2 linked regions of the Schizosaccharomyces pombe genome follow. Changing the gene in region 1 together with any one later gene gives a genetic interaction. Each region holds a gene or a part of one and is shown in the gene's direction. Other genes may lie near its edges.

Evidence for each region.
Region 2: mutations in ser2 (region 1) and pex8 together harm fitness more than expected from each alone (negative genetic interaction), as found in Schizosaccharomyces pombe (one large-scale study listed by BioGRID).

The regions. Positions count from the first base shown.
Region 1 is NC_003423.3:1,863,207-1,873,589, forward strand, and holds ser2 (phosphoserine phosphatase Ser2), read left to right. Parts: upstream 1-7,084; 5' UTR 7,085-7,127; coding exon 7,128-7,925; intron 7,926-7,989; exon of another isoform or gene 7,990-7,996; coding exon 7,997-8,095; 3' UTR 8,096-8,543; downstream 8,544-10,383. Other genes in the region: trm141 (actin binding methyltransferase), read right to left, coding at 162-620, 693-980; protein tam8, read left to right, coding at 1,314-1,547; elongator complex subunit Elp6, read right to left, coding at 1,571-2,125, 2,208-2,402; palmitoyltransferase Erf2, read right to left, coding at 3,191-4,243; SPOM_SPBC3H7.08C (uncharacterized protein), read left to right, coding at 6,046-6,114, 6,184-6,235, 6,396-6,637; F-box protein Pof9, read left to right, coding at 8,641-9,005, 9,076-10,114.
Region 2 is NC_003424.3:3,910,611-3,919,298, reverse strand, and holds the start of pex8 (protein Pex8), read left to right. Parts: upstream 1-6,675; 5' UTR 6,676-6,694; coding exon 6,695-6,756; intron 6,757-6,798; coding exon 6,799-7,282; intron 7,283-7,334; coding exon 7,335-7,471; intron 7,472-7,514; coding exon 7,515-8,559; 3' UTR 8,560-8,688. Other genes in the region: SPOM_SPAC323.07C (MatE family transporter), read left to right, coding at 1-96, 159-1,098; NEDD8-activating enzyme uba5, read left to right, coding at 1,768-1,802, 1,840-1,952, 1,996-2,159, 2,197-2,386, 2,426-2,730, 2,772-2,959, 3,001-3,191, 3,227-3,434 and 2 more; eRF1 methyltransferase Mtq2, read left to right, coding at 3,828-3,894, 3,939-4,032, 4,072-4,133, 4,175-4,461, 4,509-4,694; SPOM_SPAC323.04 (ATPase), read right to left, coding at 4,775-5,197, 5,244-5,755, 5,818-6,202, 6,383-6,526.

The DNA.
Region 1 (10,383 bases):
AAGATTTTCTATTTTTATTAATTAAATTATCAAAAAACTAAAGTTACTGTCATAAACCTTACAATAAAACTCAGGACTCATGTCTAAAACGGATTACATTAAAAGCCCTATATAAAAGAATAAAAAATACGCAAACAAAGAAACTTTTTCTACCAAAGTATTCACAGCTTTTTCCAAACTCCTTGTAAAAACGTACGCTTCATATTTAAGTTACGCTTTCGGTTGTCAACGGTGCGATTAACTCGATCTAATGTTACTAAGCCAAACCCGGCGCTTTTCATCCATTCAGCAATATCTTCTTCTCGAAAAAAAAGTGATAAAGTTCCATCCTGTCTAACGAACGTCTGTTCATCAATCATAGATGGGTCACCGCTTGTCATGAATTTCTCTTGAGCAAAATCGCCATCACAGTAATCACGAAACACCAAATGCCCTCCTGGCTTTATGACTGAAGCCAAGTTCTTAATAGAACGAAGCTGCTTCTCGCGTGGAATGGCAGATAATACAAAGATGGCAGTTAATGTATCAATGCAAGCAGAACCCAAAACTTCAAGCAAAGAATCTTCGGTTATATCATTAACAAAAGGAAAAACTCTATTTTCGTTATAACAGGAATGCTTCTAAATTAAGACAAAGGTTAGTAAATTAAATATTTCAGAGCAAATTGGCATAAATTTAGTAGCTCTCCTTACCTTCACAAAATCTATAGCACGAGGACTAAAATCACAGCAGTATATCTTCAAATTTGGTTGCACTTCTAGCAGAGGATAGACGAGGTTTCCAACACCGCATCCGACTTCAAGGATAGTCAATGGCAACTTATCGGGCAATCCAAAATAACAATCGAATTCACGATCAAGCCAGTGTCTATCTTTGAAAAACCTTGTTTCATTTCGCTTGTAAAACTTATCCCAAGACTTTTTCGACTCCTTTTTATATTTTTCAACCCAAAAATCACTTAATTTTGATATACCACTCATATCTCCTAACAATTTCGTAGCACGGTCTTCTATATGTATGAAAGATGTTTCAAAATATTACCCAACCCAGTAGTTATTCCAAAAAATGCGATAAAAAATTTGTATGACAACGATTTACCCTACAACCTTCAATGAATACCAAACTGGCTCGATCAATTTTTTTTAAATTAAAAAAGCACTATTTTAAATAAAAAAATAACCAAACCTAGTTCGTTAATTCCAAATTCACAAATCAATGCACACTGTGCAGAGAGCGTCTTGTTCTTCCTTGTAAACCTACACCTATACCAATTCGCGCGCACCTTGTGATACTCGCAACTCTACAAATATACAATGAATAGGACTTCAGAAAGTGTGGAACCTCAACAAAATGAAAAAACAGCAGTGCATTGGAGCAGAGAATGGGTTCCTGTTGTTGTAGATACATATTCTAATGAAGATGATGAGGATAATGAAGAAGGAGATGAATCCAGGCCTCAACGAACATTTTTAGTAAAACGGTGGGTGCAAGATAATGTACAAGTGGAAAAGAAGGGAGACGAAGAGACTGCAGCAGCAGATAATTGAGAAAAAGTAGATGAAGTAGGAATTTAGAGTTGCAGCGTCACCTGCCCTTTGGAATATACCTTAGCACCTGCTTCCGTTACCTCGTATAAAAGCTCCTTGTCATCATCCTCCGGGGTCTCGCATATTCCACTACGAAAGTGATTTGGCATTCGAGAAAGACGCAGGAATCCGGTGATTCGTCGAGCGCTACCGCTAGTCAAAGGCCGACAGGAAATACATCTAGTTGCCATGTGTCCGATTGAAGAGCCTAAAGACTTTTGTTGTGGTAACGGAGCTCCCAAAGTCACGTTTACAATGACTCTACTGAAACATTTTCGTAATTCCAAAATTGCCTGCTGAATCTTTGTGGAATCGAGAGCATGAGTACTTTGTAAAATATCAATATCTTCTATGATGATCGTGGAGTTTTCAAATTCAAAATCGTTTTCCTCCACACATTGGATCACAGGCGCGAAAACAGATTTGATGTGATTTTTGGTTTCTGGTGCTTGTACCTTCGAAGGCTTGGAAATAGGAGCAAATAGCATGCTGAAGCCATCGATAAAGAAGAAATTTTTTTTCGTTTTAATATCCATTCCCTAATATTGGTTCAGTAGGTTAGTCATACGAATAGTTTATCATTCAACCACTTATGCAATCGTAATCCCTCTTTTTACATACCCATTTACGCATACTAATTGCATGCTCATCTAAGGTTTTACTGAATGTTAAAAAACAAGTACTTTCCTTTGCTTTCAACGCATGGTATAAATAATAATGGAACAGAAATGTGACAGGTGTTTCTCTTGTTCCCAGTAGCAAAGTTAAAGAAAAAGGCTCAGGAATGGGGCGTAAATGCTCGTGTAAAGAAGACATTAGGTTTAAGAGCCGTTTGTCATTAGTTTTATAGCCTAACTACAGTAACCAGCTTTCCGAATGGTTGTAGAGGGTGAATGGAAAACACAAGCCTGGGAACGGAGCAACATGAACCAGAGTAAGAATGAACAAGCCGGTCAGTAATGCAAAGCTAGTTCTAATATTATAGAAGTTTCAAGTATCAAATTAAAGAAGTCTAATACCAAATTATTTTCCAGAAAACTATCCTCTAAATGTGGATAAGCTATTTCATTAAAAAAAGAAAAACTATCTACCTATGGAACATTGATTTGCCTAAAAGGCAATCATAATAATAAAAAAGAACAATAAAGAGCAAATCCCAATAAATTAGACTGGAAAGGGGTTTAGCTAAAGGAGGTAAAACCATCTATCTATCATATAAGTCATAAAAACAAGCAGCATTACTTTAAAAATAAAAGAGAGCAGCCAAATTAAATATTAATAATTCCAGAGATTGGTGAGAACAAGGAATAGTTTTATAAACATTTGTTTCTGTACATTGTTCTCTGTAAAGTACAAAGGGCGAGCTGAAGGGGTCGACGACAAGGATGAAAAAAAAGAACAAAACATTATCCAGGTAAAAATTTTGAAGAGGGGAGTAATCTTTTTTATTCCGGTTATTAAAACCAAATTAATTTCGGTACTGAAAAGTAAATTGGTAAGGGGAAGATGAAAGAGTGTAGCATATATGCGTGAGCGATTTGAGCATTATTGTCTAGCAAATAAAAAATTTTTATTTCTTATTTTCTTTGTGAAGCCAAGGCATATTACACGTAAGACTTCCTAGTGGGACGAACGTAACTCACATTTTTAGGACGACAAAGGACAACCAGAAAATTGAGCCATATGCTGTCATGAAAAGGATGTACATCTTCAGTTTCTGTACTCTTTGCTCGTAAGTATTCATGAACATTCTGACCAACAGATATTAAATAGCACTGGTAACAGAAAAGGATGCCAGGAAGTATTGCTCCAAGTGCCCCATAAATGCCAAGGAAGAAAGATACGCCAGCCCATGGACGACGAAGATGCGCCGCAAAATTTGTATCTGTGGATTCATGAAAACTTCCTATAGAAGTATAGAACCCCAATCCAGTTAGATACAAAGCTGAAAGAACGACAGATAACAAAAAAATAAAATAATATCTGTAGTTTCGACGACCAATGCAAGTGTTTAACCAAATGCAGTGATGATCAAGGTATTCAACACAATTATCACATAAATGACAATGGCTTGCACGTGGAGGACGATATAAGTGGCACGTATGGCAATAAACTGTATTAACAAAGACAGAGTCAGACCGAGTGGATCCAACAAGGACTTTACGGTCTTCAGGAATTACAGACCAGGGATGGGCAGGGTTATAAGTTAAAGAATATGCATTTCTAGGAAGAATTCCTGGATCAGCAGTCGAGCACTTGAACATGGAAACAACGGCTAAGGCATACAGGTAAGCAAAGGTAATAGGGACAGCGGGAGAGACATGATGCCAGAGCCAAAAAGCAGAAAAGATGAAGAAAAGGACTCCTGGAAGAATCAAGGCAAACAAGCTAATGAGGAAAGCTTTGTACTGAGATGACATTTGCAATCGACCACAACATAAATAGATATTGTTTCCTGGTAAATTCTTATATCGGCTTTCAATATGCGGTACTTCCGGAACATCATCAGGAACGGATTGAAATCTATAAGGAATTTGGTTCTTTTCTTCCAAATTCATGGGATACGTTGGATCAGACAAAGTCACCTCAAATGGATTCCATGGCTGATTCCACGCGTAGCGGGATGCCTTAGCATCACTGTGTTTCTCATAGCTCATGATTATATTCTCTAAACAACAAACATGGCAAAGAAACAGCTATTTTTACACCTGGTATTATATCTTGTAGTTTTGTTGTCGGTAAGGATATGAACCCCTTTTGCGATGGAGGGTGAAGTAAATATTAGCATCCGCCAAAGTTTGTTTACTAAGCAAATAAAGAAATCAAAATAAATAAACAATTAGAGAATGTGACTCTAATAACTAATATTTGGAATGGCGCCTATTTAATCGATGAGAGTGTATTAAAAAGAGAAGGGAAATAAAAACAGAATATGAAATGAAATGCTAAAAAAAAAAATACTAACCGAAGAAATAAAATTAATAATAATAAATAAAGTACTTATTTTTTTTTTACGAATAAAATGTAAAAAAAATTATTTAAGAGTGCCAATATATTAGTATTTATATTTTTCAAACTTTTTATTTAAATATATTTCATCGATACTGTAATTGGAACATCCTGTCAGTACAACAATTCAGGGCTCAAAGTTAGAAAAATCAAGTTTAATAAATTATACTATCCGTGCAATTTCGGGTTTGTAAAGAAAGTGGATAATATATGGAAAAATTAGTAATATATGACTCGATAAAGACTCCAAAGACTAAGATAAAAGACCAATATCATGGGAAGTAGACTAGCTAGTAAACCATTTTCATCTTGTGTATTATGTTTTTTTTTTTTTTTTTTTTTTTTAAAATGGCTAAATAACTAGCAGGAAAATAATGGGAGGGTGTAATTGAGAAAATATTAGAAATGAAGGTACGGAAGCAACGAAAAAAGATCTTAAAAGTTTATTAGAGTGTTGCAACTATTGAAATTATGATTATCGCGAAGCTATTAATGAAAGGGCTAATTTAAAGGATCATCTCTATACTTTCACTAGCCCCGAAATAACCCAATAACCTCTATGGCTTGTAAACAAATAACTCAAGAAACACGGTATATGGTCAGTTATGGATGAAATTTTGAAGAAAAATTATTACTAATCTACATCTAAGAAAAACCATCCTGGCTTCATTCACTGTATTTAGTGGAAATGTAGTTCACAAGATTATCGAATTAGATTGTTATTCCTCAATATGCATGACTCCAAGCGGTCCTTTGGTTTTATTTCCTGTTTTAAAGGGAAATGAATTAAATTCTTATTCCTTAGAAAATCTCAATGACGCTTTTAAACGTACTTGTACATTGGACCTACTTTACTGGAGAAACATTTGCGGTCAGCAACTACTATTAAGTTACTAACCTCATGGCAGCTAAATTTTGAAAAATGACTATATTTATTTATAATGGTACGAACCATTTTTATTTGTTTGCGAAGTTTTTTAGTGTTCTCTTCTTATTATTTACAAATATAATCTTAGGAAAAGTTTAGTAAATAAGTGTCCTAACAAATTCTATAGTATAATACAAGGGTAGAGGTAGTATCTGAAAAGTATTATAAAACTGTATAAAGCAATATAAATACAAGGGCGGTTCGATCCCGATTGCAAACGCTGGAAAATCTAGAAATATTGGAAAGTTGCTTCTTTCACCACTTTAGTAGAAGGAGTTGGTGATTATTATGATATTATTATCCATTCAAATTTGAATCTCTTAATGCGCACCGTTGCTACGTCTTGTCTGCGTCAGGTGGCGATCCCCATAAATATTGATGCTTGTCATAAATGTTGCGAATGTTCGCCTACGTATTTCATTTTGACATTTACAATCATAAAAGGATTTTAGATCCTTTCCATCTCGAAACAATTAATCAAACTATTCAAGCGAACAAGAACTTTTTATTTTTGGAACCATCATGTCAATTATGCGCTCAATTATGTCGAACCGCCTGGTTCGCTGGTCAAGAGAATATCCAGAACTATTTGTAAGCTCAATTTTTTTTTGAAAAATATATTGAGTTGATTATTTCGTAAGCTGATCAGTTTGCTGTTAGATAACTTGGTGTGTCATGACTTATACCTTTGGAGTTGCTGGTTATATGCTTGGTATGTTAAAAATTAGTAGAAAATTAGAAATCAGCGCAGTTAATGAAACATTATACTCAATTTTAATATTCTGTTAAAATTTTCCTACAGAATATTTATTTTACAAGCGCATTTACATATGATTGTTTAAATTAAATGATTGTAGCTAACAGTTTTTTAGGACAGCGGGGCTTGTTGGTACAACATGAAGATCAAGTCCGAATTCCTTCAAAAAATGCTCACCCCTGGGAAGACACCAAAAGCAGTAGCGGAAAAAGTGATGAGAGTCTTGATTATAGCTACAAGTATTATCCTCGAGGAGATAGGAGTAAAGAACCTCGAAAGGCACCTTCTGCTATTCAATACAGCACTTTTCCCGTTAAAGGTGTATCAGAAGAGGTACTTGAGCGATTCTCTAAGTAAAGCACATTAAATTGTGTATAACCTTTTAGGAATGAAAGAGAACAATTATTACATTGCCAAATATTTTTTTAGTGCTTTTTCACTTTACAAATATCTCACTCTCTACTTTATGGTAGGCTCTCATTTTTGGAATATTTGCCCTGATATATTGCAATATTTCCAAACATCTTCTTAGTTATGATTTCTTGCTTTATTGCTTTAATGTATAAAAAAAATATTTGCTTATTAACCTGTGTTTGAAAACGGAGTTTAGGCACCACTTTACCAACTTCACAATTTATACAGCATTTTGAAGATAATGATAAATTTGTAAACAATAACAAAAAATAAGCTTGTTTGAGATTTTCAAATAACTTAAATTGACCTAGTACTTGTTGTCGTTTAACGTTAAGCTTAATCAATAGCCGAGTAATTAGTAAATGGGACTTGCCGAAAACAACGCTTTTCAACTTAGAAAATTTAGCAAACCCACTCATACCTTTTAATAAGCATGGTCAACGCAGCCATAGTTGTTTCCTCAAATCGTCCAAATGTGCTTGAACAGATTTCCTCCTTGTTTAGAGATGGGAAGACTCGTTCTCTGGGGGAACAGTGGACTTTAGTATCAGGCCAACTTAAAGGAACGTTTGAAGATGCTAAAGACGCTTGTAACCGCATTTCTGCTACTGAGAATGTAGACTGTAATTGCTTGAGTGAAGCAACATTTTCCACTAAAAAGAAGCTTGTAGTATTTGACATGGACTCGACGTTGATTCAACAAGAGTGTATTGACGAGCTCGCGGCAGAAGCAGGCATCCAGAAAGAGGTTGCTACGATTACATCTCTTGCAATGAATGGGGAAATTGACTTTCAAGAATCACTTCGTCGTCGCGTTTCTCTACTACAAGGGTTGAGCGTCGATGTCATAAATAAAGTCATTGGCAAAATTACTTTCACTCCAGGAGCTAAACAGCTTTGTCATTGCCTTAAGCAAATGGGTGCGACTCTTGTTGTCGCTAGTGGTGGATTTGTTCCAATGGCTGAATATGTCAAGGGACAACTGGACTTGGACTATGCATATGCCAATGTACTTGAATTTTCCGATGATGGTAAATTCCTCACTGGAAAAGTTCAAGGTGCAATTGTAGATGGACAACGAAAAGCTTCCATTTTGCGTGAAAAGAGGGAAGAGTTGGGTTTAAATAAGCTCGAAACGATGGCTGTTGGGGACGGAGCTAACGATTTGGTCATGATGGCCGAATCCGGTTTAGGAATTGCGTTCAAAGCTAAACCCAAAGTTCAATTATTGGTATGTTCGAAATTTTTTTACAAATTTATGTTTTTAATGATCTTACTAACTCGATTTTTTTTTTTAATTAGGCTGATTCGAAAATCAATCTTCCATCTTTGCAAAACGCTCTTTACCTCTTGGGTATTGATGAGCAACAACAAAAAAAGCTATTGGAAAACAAAAATTAATTTAGAATTTCCAAGAATTTTTCAATCGCAAGGCGCTGTCAAGAACTCTGAGCTACTGTGGCTTGGTTTTTATAAAGCAATATTTTACTTGTGCGCGTGGTCTTTTTTTCTGTAGTAGGAGCCGTCTTTTATATACCCTACTTCTTTATTTTTGATACTCTTATTTTTCTTTTTCCTTAATTTACAATTTTGGTATGATCAATGCTTCATTGGAAAGGGTGTGCAATGAATGCTTAAAAAAAAAGGGGCAGTTCAGAAGCTTTCTTCTTTAAAACAGACAAGAATTACTCAATTGGTTTTTATAAAGCCGATCATTTACTCTTAAATCTGCTTCGTTATGCTGATAGACTTTGAAATTGATTCGTGCAATGACTACACCTTCGTTTCATAGACCTTTCTTTATTATCATTTATTAATTGTAAATAATACAATTGTATCTAGTTATTAAGAGTTGCAGAAAACATGTGCTTTTGACGTATTTCAACACCGTTTCCCTTGTATATATTCAGAGGTATTCATATACTACTACCCATGCGAGATTCATTATGGCTAAATCACCATTCCTGGAGCTTTCTTACGATATATTGCTAGAAATTAGTACATATCTTGATTATAAAGATATAGTTCATTTGTCAGAAACATGCAAGTCACTTTCGTATGTTTTTGACGACAAAACAATTTGGCATCGATTTTGTGCACGGGTCCAAGGTCTCACCAATGTAGTCCCAGTTGTTGATGATAATTACAAAAGACCCTATGCTGTATGGAAAGACCGAGGATACGCTTACTCATGGGGGCAACAGATAAGAAACTATTTGGGCCGCGTCGTCAATACAAATCAGTATCCTCGAGATCGTCCTGGTGCATTGACTGGGAAGGACGTTCGTTCTACTATTCAGGTTCAAGTTGGGTAAGCGCATAGATACAGGAATTTATTTGACTGCACTACAATGACTAACTATTCCCTATGCGGAATTTAGAGGTTATGGGATGTATTTATTAAATGAAAACGGAAATTTATATGTTACGGGGGTACCAAACAATGTTGGGCCCGAATTGATGAGAGATTTAGAGCCAATTGTGAAAATCCATGCTGGTCGAGAGTTTTGTCTTGCACTCGGTGAGACGGGACACTTGTATCAAGTATCTCTAAAAACACGAATTTGCTTGACAGATGAACAAAATATGCTATCAGCCTATCGCGGAAGAATTGCTAATTTTAAATCAGGTTGGGACTCGCATTCGGCGTATGTGCCGGGCATTGGCTTTCTTGTCTGGCACACTGGACGAGAAAGTGAAGCGCAACTTTTCCAGCCAGAGGCATCGATGAAGGAATTCGTGCTGAACGATTATGTTCACTGCGCAGGATTCCTAGTGTATACTGTCGCATCACCTCAGAAAAAAGGCGCCGTGTTTCGTTTAGACCTGGACCAAGCTACACAACACACGCTAGGAAGAGAATTGAAGAGGTTCGCTTCGCACGACCCCCATCAAGGTTGGCATTTAGCAGGCAGCTTTGAAACTTTCACATGTTTATCGGACGATGGCAATACTGTTTACATGGGTCATGCTAATACCAAGCAGGTCGATGATGACCCGGTTATCCACGACTTTCTCCAGAACCGAGGAATTAAGCAATTGGCGCATGGCGATCATCATCATCTTTACTTAACAAGCGATCATTCCATATGGTCGTGGGGTGTTGAATTACGTTATTGTGGGTGTTTAGGTTTGGGTTCTCTTCATTTGCAAGAACAGACATCTGATCCCAGCATTGTTTCTGATCCACGCACCGCACGCAACATCGTTTCCATTCCACATCAAATTCACTTTTCAGGAACTTGCTATTCAGTTGCAGCCGGCGGATGGCAAAGTGCTGCTCTCGCCATTTCGGAATCTGTTTTACCCGAAGTCAATGTGCCTCCAATTACAACTTTTTCTATCATCCGACCATCCAGAGTTCCAGCGTTGCGCTTTTTAGCTGCCCCTGCGACTCGGACTTTGGAAAGGGACGGCTAGGTGAAATAGTGATCAACTTTGCTTGGTAAGCTAATTTCCGCGTGCGCACTAGAGAAGGATTTTATTTTGTCCGCTAAGTAAGTGAAATAAATAAATATCTCGGCCACCTCGGACTTCCGAATTTATCTCTATTTTTACTAATTCCTCTAGGTAAGCCAATTATAAAAAAAAGCAGCACAAGGAAAACACAACGGTGATTAAATAAGTGAGAAAATTTTTTTTCCTTCTTCCTGTATCGCAATTACATAAAGTACACACATTGACCAATT
Region 2 (8,688 bases), on another chromosome or scaffold:
TTGGCTTAATCTTGAACATATTCTAATCTTTCTTCACCAAGATCCTATGGTTGCTCATTTGTGTGGTCGTTATATGAGAGTGTTTATCTTGGCTGCGTAAGTACTTTATTAAAATTTGTCCGTTCTCTCTCCTCCTTTCACTAACTGTATTCTTTTAGACCTGGATATGCCGTTTTTGAGGCATTGAAGCGTTACTTGCAAGCTCAAGGCATATTTACCCCTATCACTTATGTATTATGCTTTGCTGCTCCTCTCAATATTCTTTTAAATTACCTTCTTGTATGGCATCCCACAATTGGATTTGGCTTTCTCGGTGCTCCAGTCGCCGTTGCTACTACTTTTTGGTTTCAAAGCATTTGTTTAATATTGTATATTTGTTTCTCCTCCACCCCTATCCCGTGGCCTGGTTTCTCTAGGCAGGCTTTGAAAAATCTATCTCCCATGTTACATTTCTCTTTCCATGGAATGCTGATGATCGTTACTGAGTGGGCTGCCTATGAAATGACTAGTCTTGGTGCTGGTTATTTGGGTACTGCACCCCTTGCATCCCAGTCAATTTTGCTCACTTCTACTTCTTTGCTTTTTCAAATTCCCTTCGCTTTTGCTGTTGCCTCGTCAACACGCGTGGGTCACTTAATTGGTTCAGGAAGAGCCAACTTAGCTCGTCTTTGCTCTCGAGTAGCATATTCGCTAGCTTTGTGCATATCCATTTTTGATGGGTCTTTAATTTTCTGTTTTAGAGACGTTTGGGGAAGCTTGTTTACCAGTGATCCCGAAGTCCTTGCAGTCGTTAAGGACATCTTCCCTATCTTGTCCTTGTTTATTGTCACTGACGGATTAAATGCTGTAGGAGGTGGACTTCTTCGTGGCACTGGTAAACAGTATATTGGAGGTTTAATTAGTATCGGATCAAGCTACTTGTTTGCTTTACCAGTCACCGTTTTTGTTGTTGTATATTTCAATACCGGTCTAAAGGGGATTTGGTGTGGAATGATTTTGTCTAGTGTCACCGCAATTACTTGTCAGTTCACTGTTCTATTTAATACTGATTGGCATAGAGTTCTTCAAGAAGCTCGTCATAGATTGACCCACGTTTAATAAGTTTTCGTTTCGGCCACTCCTTTGATATTCTATTTTACTGCCGAATTCTCGTTCTTCTTTTGTTTCCGCTTTAATAATTACTTTATTTAATAGACATCCGCGATAAAAACGTATCCTCTCAATCTTACAATATATGTTTGATTATCTTTGCCTGTCAGCCTGTCATTCAGTTTACACATGTAGTCAATTGGTTTCTACCATTCCTTTTTCTGCAAAAAATTTAGAGACTTAACAATTAATTAGTATTTATCTTATTACCAAAAAAAATTTGACTTTTCTACTTTTTTGATTGTTGGTTTGTCTTTCTTCATGAGTATTTGAGTCACTATCACGCCGACTCTATACTATTGCCATATACTCAAAAAAAGCTGATTAGGTACAGAAGTTTAACAGTTGTTTTCAAGAAGCCCATATTTCCCTAATGGAAGTAGTTTCATTTTGCTTCACAATTTTAGAATATCAAACTTAGCCGGCCTAGTCATATCGTCGGTTCCCTTTAATTACCATTTTTATTGTTACAAGCCAAATTTATTTTTATTTCATTTGATATATTTTCGTAGAGATTTTGTTCAAGCTGTCTTATTAACATCCTTCTTCCTTCCTACATACATACCTGTAATTTACACGTAACGACTTCCAGCTGTTTTGTCATACTTTTGAACTAGTATGGGAACTTCTGCGAAAATGCAAAAATACGATAGGTATGAAACTCATTAAATCCTTTACTATTAATCATAGACAAGTACGGCTTTGGAAAGCTGAAGGACAGAACGCAATTGAGAAGTCGCATGTGTGTCTTTTGTATGCAAATACTGTAGGGTGTGAAGCTTTAAAAAATTTAATTTTGCCAGGTATTGGATATTTTAAAGAAATTATACTAAATAGACGTAATAGGGATTGGCTCTTTTGCTGTCGTTGATGATACTTCTGTCGATTTCAGTATGGATGGAATGAACTTTTTTATCCAGTACGACCAAGAAGGAAAATCCAGAGCTCGCTGTACGGCATCTTTGTTGCAACAACTTAATCCAAACGTCGAAATGGAATATTTAGAGATGGTATGGCTGTTTGGACGATATACTCTAACGTTTGTAGAGCCCCGAAGCTTTAATAGATAAAAACATTGAGTATTTTTCAAAATTTTCTGTAGTCTTATCCTCAAACTTAAAGGAAAAACCTCTTTTTCGCTTAGAAGAGTACCTTCGATCGCACAAGATTCCTCTGCTACACTTCAATTCAGTTGGCTTTGCCGGCATACTTCGAATTTCGACTCATGAATATACCAGTAAGTTCCTATTTAAGAGGGATATCTAACTAAAGTTAGCTACTCAATCACAACCAGAATTGCCTCAAGATTTGCGTCTGAAAAACCCGTGGCCTGAACTAATTAATTATGTAAAATCAATGGATTTGGACAATATGGACTCATCTTCTCTGTCAGAAATACCGTATATAGTCTTAATCATCCATGTCTTATTAAAGGTCTCACCAGCACACGCGCAAAATTCACAAGAAGCTGATGATTGTGCTATGTTTCGAAAAATAATGGAGGAATACAAGGGAAAATGTGATTCAGAAAACATCGAAGAGGCTTCATCGAATTCTTGGAAGGCTTTTAAGGAATATAAGGTATTTGTATTTTTTAGAACGCATAAATTAATATGAAATAGTTGCCAAGCAACGTATACGAAGTTTTACACGATACTCGCTGCGTTAAAATTCAGGAAGATTCTGAAAGCTTTTGGATCATGGCGCATTGTCTCAAAATGTTCTATGATGAGACAGAATTTCTTCCACTATCTGGATTATTGCCTGACATGAATTGTTCTACTCAACAATACGTAAAGCTACAGGTCATGTACGTTTTTTGTTTAACTTTTACCATTACTAATATTTCAGCTACAAAGAAAAATCTGAAAATGATATTTTAAAATTCAAAAAATACGTTCAACAAACGCTGAAACGTTTAAACCGATCAGTCGAGGAGATAACCGATTTAGAAATCAAGCATTTTTCTCGAAATTGTTTAAATATAAAGGTTATGGATTTCAAAACAATGAAAGAGGAGTATCAACCTACATCAAACTCAGGTACGTTAACAGTATTCGCTTTTGTCTGACCGTAGTTCTCGAATCATCCTCGATTGACTCAAATTCTTTACTTCCGTGGTATTTAGCGTTTCGCATATATGATACAATACTTGAAAAACATGGAAAAAATTACAAAGAAGCGTTCAGTGATACAACTAAAACAATCAGCGTTGCTCAATCATTTTTGTCCCAAATTGGATTAGAGAAATTTTTTGACGTTGTTTACACAGCTATACAAGAATTGTACGCTAAATTTCTTATTCTGACTTTTTACTAATAGTTTCAGAGAACGCGCTGATGGTCATGAACTTCATTCAATATCATCTTTTATAGGTGGTATTGTAGCTCAAGAGACTATAAAGGTATGAAAAATTTATACAAATACTATTATGGACTAACTTTACTTTAGTTACTAGCCCAACAATATCTTCCTTTGAATAATACATTCGTCTTTGACGGTGTTCATAGCAGGACAGAAACGTTTAAATTATAATTAGAATCAGTATTTATTATTAAATGAAATTTCAAAAAAATTCATCATATTCCAAAAGTTCCTATCCCAAATCAAACATTCTCATATCATTTGCACCACAGTCTGACGTCCTTCTTCAAATAAGTAGGTACGCGTAAGAACGAATGCTTTCGACCCCAGTTACATCCCAGTTGCGTCTAAAAGAATTTCAAGATGTTTATGAACCAGCTGGTATGTTATAAAAGGTCAAAAAAGCTTGCTAATTACACTTTTAGAGGACACGTTTGCTTTGCTCGATGCGCTTGAAAAGGATGCCAAAAAATTGCGCCAAATGGCTGAAATGAAAAACTTATTAACAGCGGAAATTGGGTAGGTTTTTGGTTAAATCGTGAAGATATTAACCTGCAGCTGCGGATCTGGCTGTGCATCCTCATTTTTAAAAAGTGGGATTTTGAAAAACAAGCCAATTGGTACGGTTGCAAACCACAAAATATAATATGCTGATGTCTAGTTCATTTTATGTCCGACATCTCAAATTCTGCGTGTCGTGCTAGTAAGATAACTGCTCTGAATAATCGTGAGTTGTATAAGGACGATAATGGGTTGTTCATTACCGTACAAACTTCATTCCTTGACGGAATTAGACTCGGGAATGGAGTTGATATTTTAATATTCAACCCTCCATATGTTCCTACCGAGTTCGAAGAAATACCAAGTGAAGCTGCTACTATTGCTTCGGCTTGGGCTGGTGGTACCGATGGTATGGATGTCACTAGCACTTTGTTAAACCAATTAAAGGTAAGGTCAGACCTTTATATTTACATTAATAACTCATTTATGGATAGGATATACTTTCACAAGACGGAGTATTTTACATGGTTGCAGTTGCTCGCAATAAGTTACACTCTATTTGTGAAATATTGCAAAAGGATGGGTTTATTGTTAATGAGACTTTAAAAAGAAAAGCTGGGCGTGAAACACTAAGTATTCTAAGAATTTATCGGATTGGTAATACAATTTGGGATGAATAATTCAAATTTTTGGGGTCAATCAAAAAACAATCCTAGAAAGGAGTCGAAGAATTATACACATTCAATAGGGATGTTCATCATCAAGCATGTATGACAAGTTTTCCATTATCAATGTGAGCCCTTCTATTTACGCAGGCAGGGAGTTCATCTTCGTAATGAGAAATTATAACCATGGCTTGGGAAGGAGAGAGCTTTTCATTTAAGTAATTATGCGCCATATGGACATATTTGGTATCTACTCCCTGGAAAGGCTCGTCCAAAACAACTAAGCGAGGTTGTTTGACAATAGCACGACAAAACAAAATAAATCTCTGCATGCCAACCGAGATACTGCTTAATGGTTTATCTTTAATATCCTTTAGTTCAAATTCCTCTAAGATGCTACTAATTGCTGCCAACCGAGTTTCGGTTAACTTTGGGATGGTAAAGGTGGTGCTCCAGGCGCTAAGAAGAGCTTCAAAGCATGTATGTTGCTTCGGGAAATGATTGTGTATCTCTGGAGACTAAAAAGTCGTTAGTTTTAAAGACTATTTACTTTTATAGACTTACACAATGCCCTATGTTTTCTTGGATATCGAATATAGAAATTCCAGTGCCGGGCCCAATGCTTTTTCCAAAAAATTTAATATTGCTAGCAAATAACTTGGGGTGGTCTCCAACTACATATGCTAAAAGTGTAGTTTTACCGCTTCCATTGCTACCTGTTAAAGCCCATCTTTCTCCTTCTCTAATAGTCCAATTTATGTCAGAGAGTACTTTTCGTCCCCAGTAAACACAGTTGAGATGTTCCATGGAAATTAAAGGCTTGCCTATTGTAATAGGCTTGCTTTTTTTCATCTGGGGCTTGACAGGTATGTTAGTTGAGTGACTGGTCATAGGAATATACTGTTCCTTGGGCCCTTGATATGTGATTTTTTTATTTTTCAATTCCAATACATGTGTGATAAAGTCGGGAATTTTGTCCTGAGGACGTAAGGAAAGTACAATCTTTGGCGAACAATGGTTTGACATTTCACCTAAAAGTGAAGACAAAACAGATCTTGAAGTAACATCAAGTCCAGCTAAAAAAAATACTGTTAGTAATTGTATTAACATAAATTGCACCCCTTAGTGGCCAGCGTACCGTAAGGTTCATCAAGTAAAAGAAGCTGCGGCCTTTGCACAAGTTTCGATGCAAGCATCGCTCTTCTAGATTGTCCATTGCTCAAATTTATTAAACTCGAAGGAAGTAAATGAGATAACTGAGTCATAGATGCGGCCTCTTGTACATGTTGAGAAGCAAACTTCTCATTCCCTCGATAAGCGCCCAAAAGCCACTTCTCCAATGTAGTGTCATGTTCTTTGTCTCTAAAGGAATGATATCTTTCAGAGTAGTATGCGGCACGCTGCTGTCCAGAACTTTTAAAATCAAGCAATTGGATTGCTTGCCATGGGCTATCAGATTTGCCTTTCAAGAATGGATATGAAAAACTAGTGGAGGGTGAGGGTGTAAAGGAACCTTGTATACACTGTATTGAGTTAGCAATTTAGTAAAGTTACTACCATGTAATTAATGATAATAAAAAGTGTTTGGTTTCCGACTAAGGGACAAAAATGAATTGTACAAAGCTGATTTAGTAAATTTGATGAATTGCTAAAGCTTTAGCGCATTTTTACTCCAAACACTTCGCATAAATTACAAAACATACGCGCAAGAATGTAGTCCTACCACTTCCAGTGTTTCCAATAATGGCCCAATTTTGCTTTCGAGCTAGTTCAAAAGACACATTCTTGAAAAGGGGAAATCGCGCATCTAAGAATGTCGTATTGGCAAATTTGACAAAAGACGCCATGCTGCAAGATATGGCCGCCGCTATATGCTCAGCAGCTTATATGGTGATTGTTAAAGTAATTAATGAAATGAGAAAACTCCGTATAAGTCAATTTATAAGTTGCAGTTTGATTCTGTGGTAGTGATCGTACGAAAGATAATAAGGCTTCCAGAACACTGCGTTTTAATTATGGAAGAAGCCATTAACAACGTGCTTCTTCTGTTACGAGAGGACTCGATATCTTTAGAAACGTAAGTCCGGTGGTTTTTAATCCATTTTGTTAACAATCCAAGTGTCCTATGGGAGACACACTATGTCTTACTCAATTTACATAATGAACAGAACCTTCGACTGGTGGTAGCACAATTGATTGCTTGCGGTAGAATATGGGACTATTGGAATGAGCATCGTTCTGAATACTTTGCATTTTGGGTTGAATTGATAAGCAGGAAAAAGGTAACGAATAACGGTTTGCCATTTTCATCCTTCGTGAAAAGCATTGTAGGCATTCTTGAGGTAGATGCAAGCAATGAAATTCTTTGCTTTCGAAGAATTTGTCTCCTTTGCGTTTTTTACAAACTATTGAGTTGCGATCATATCGTCAACTTACAATACCCCTTGAAAAGAGCAGTTAGCAAAGCTTTATCAAAACAGATAAAAACGCATCAATTTTCAGGATTTGAAGCCAATTTTTTACTGCAACAACTTTTTGCATCTGTCGATTCATCAGCGAGCGATATTTCTTTTGATGCATTTTCGTTACTCCCTCATTTATTGGTAAGTAGCAGTAAATATAGAACTCCAAAAAACTTTATACTAATTGTCTCAGAAATGGGAAGAAATTGTTTGGAGCGGTTTCATCAATTATTTGGATACTGAACACAAGCGGGATTCCTTGCCTACAGCTGTTTTGTGCCATCTGTTATTACGCTTATCAACTTATCAGCAAATCAGCATTATTAAAAGGTTAGTGTTTGACTTCACTGTTCTGGAAGACTAAATGATGCAGGTTAATAACTCTAATTGACAAGGCGATTCCCTCTTGGAAAAGTCGTTCCTCTGATTCTAAATATAATGACCATCAGTTTGTTAAAAAAAATTTTTTCTCAATAATTATGGTTTTAGAATCATTGGCAAAATCTCAGTACCGTAAAAGCAATGTATTGGCTGCAGACCGATCTTTATGTGAGTATATTATTTTGACTTTGTTTCATATGGAGTATCTATTCTCTTTTGTTGCATCATCATGGTCTACATTGGATTTTGTAATAACAACATGCTTGAGTCGTGTTGCTCAACCAGCCAAGTTTATCTCGGAAACTGTGCGGGAAGCCATTATAGATTCAATTCAACTCGAGGGATATGTAGACTTACAAAAGCTATCAGGCTCTCCAGTTTTGGTAACTTTGAGTTTTATCAATAATTGGCAAAATCTCATATGTCGACGTTTAGAAAAGCAAACAGTCAACGAGAAAGTTATAACGTTAAGCTCCACTGCTAAAGAAATATCATCATTAGGTCTTAGTTTCGCTGAAAAACTTATATCTCAATCTGACGAATCTACATTATGCAAACATTATGTTTACGCGTCGCTGTATGCGTGTCTTTTTTGTAATCTAAATGAGGGCTCTCCAAAAGACTATCTAGACAATGACATTTATGTTCATGCTAGGTGTCTCTTCTTGCTTACCAAAACGTTGAATCTCGACTCTCTGAAGAGCATCCTTTGCTCGAGAGTAAGGTTATACTATAACATCGAAATAGCTTATTATTTCACAGATGTTTTATTGAAATGGTTTCAGCCAATTATACGATATGAATTTGACAACGCCCTTATTTTTTATAAAGCTTCAATCAGTTTAGTAAGTGTTCTTGCTCCTGCTGCTCAAAAGCAATTCTTATCCAATTATTTGAATTCAATTCAAGGATTTTCAACTGAAACCAAAGAAGACTTAATTTTCCTTGTATCTTCCCAAATTCGTCAAATGCCCTATCAAAACGCTACTTCCTTGCTATCCTTTTGGCTATCTATTGTCGTAGGTCGTGCAGTTTAAAAACTCTATAATTTAGATGAAGGATAATATTTTCCGTTCTTTTCCAAAGCTATTGAGCTATTGGATTGTTTTTGGTTACACTACAATATCAATTATTGTAACATGAAACGTGTATATTAGTCAGTTTCG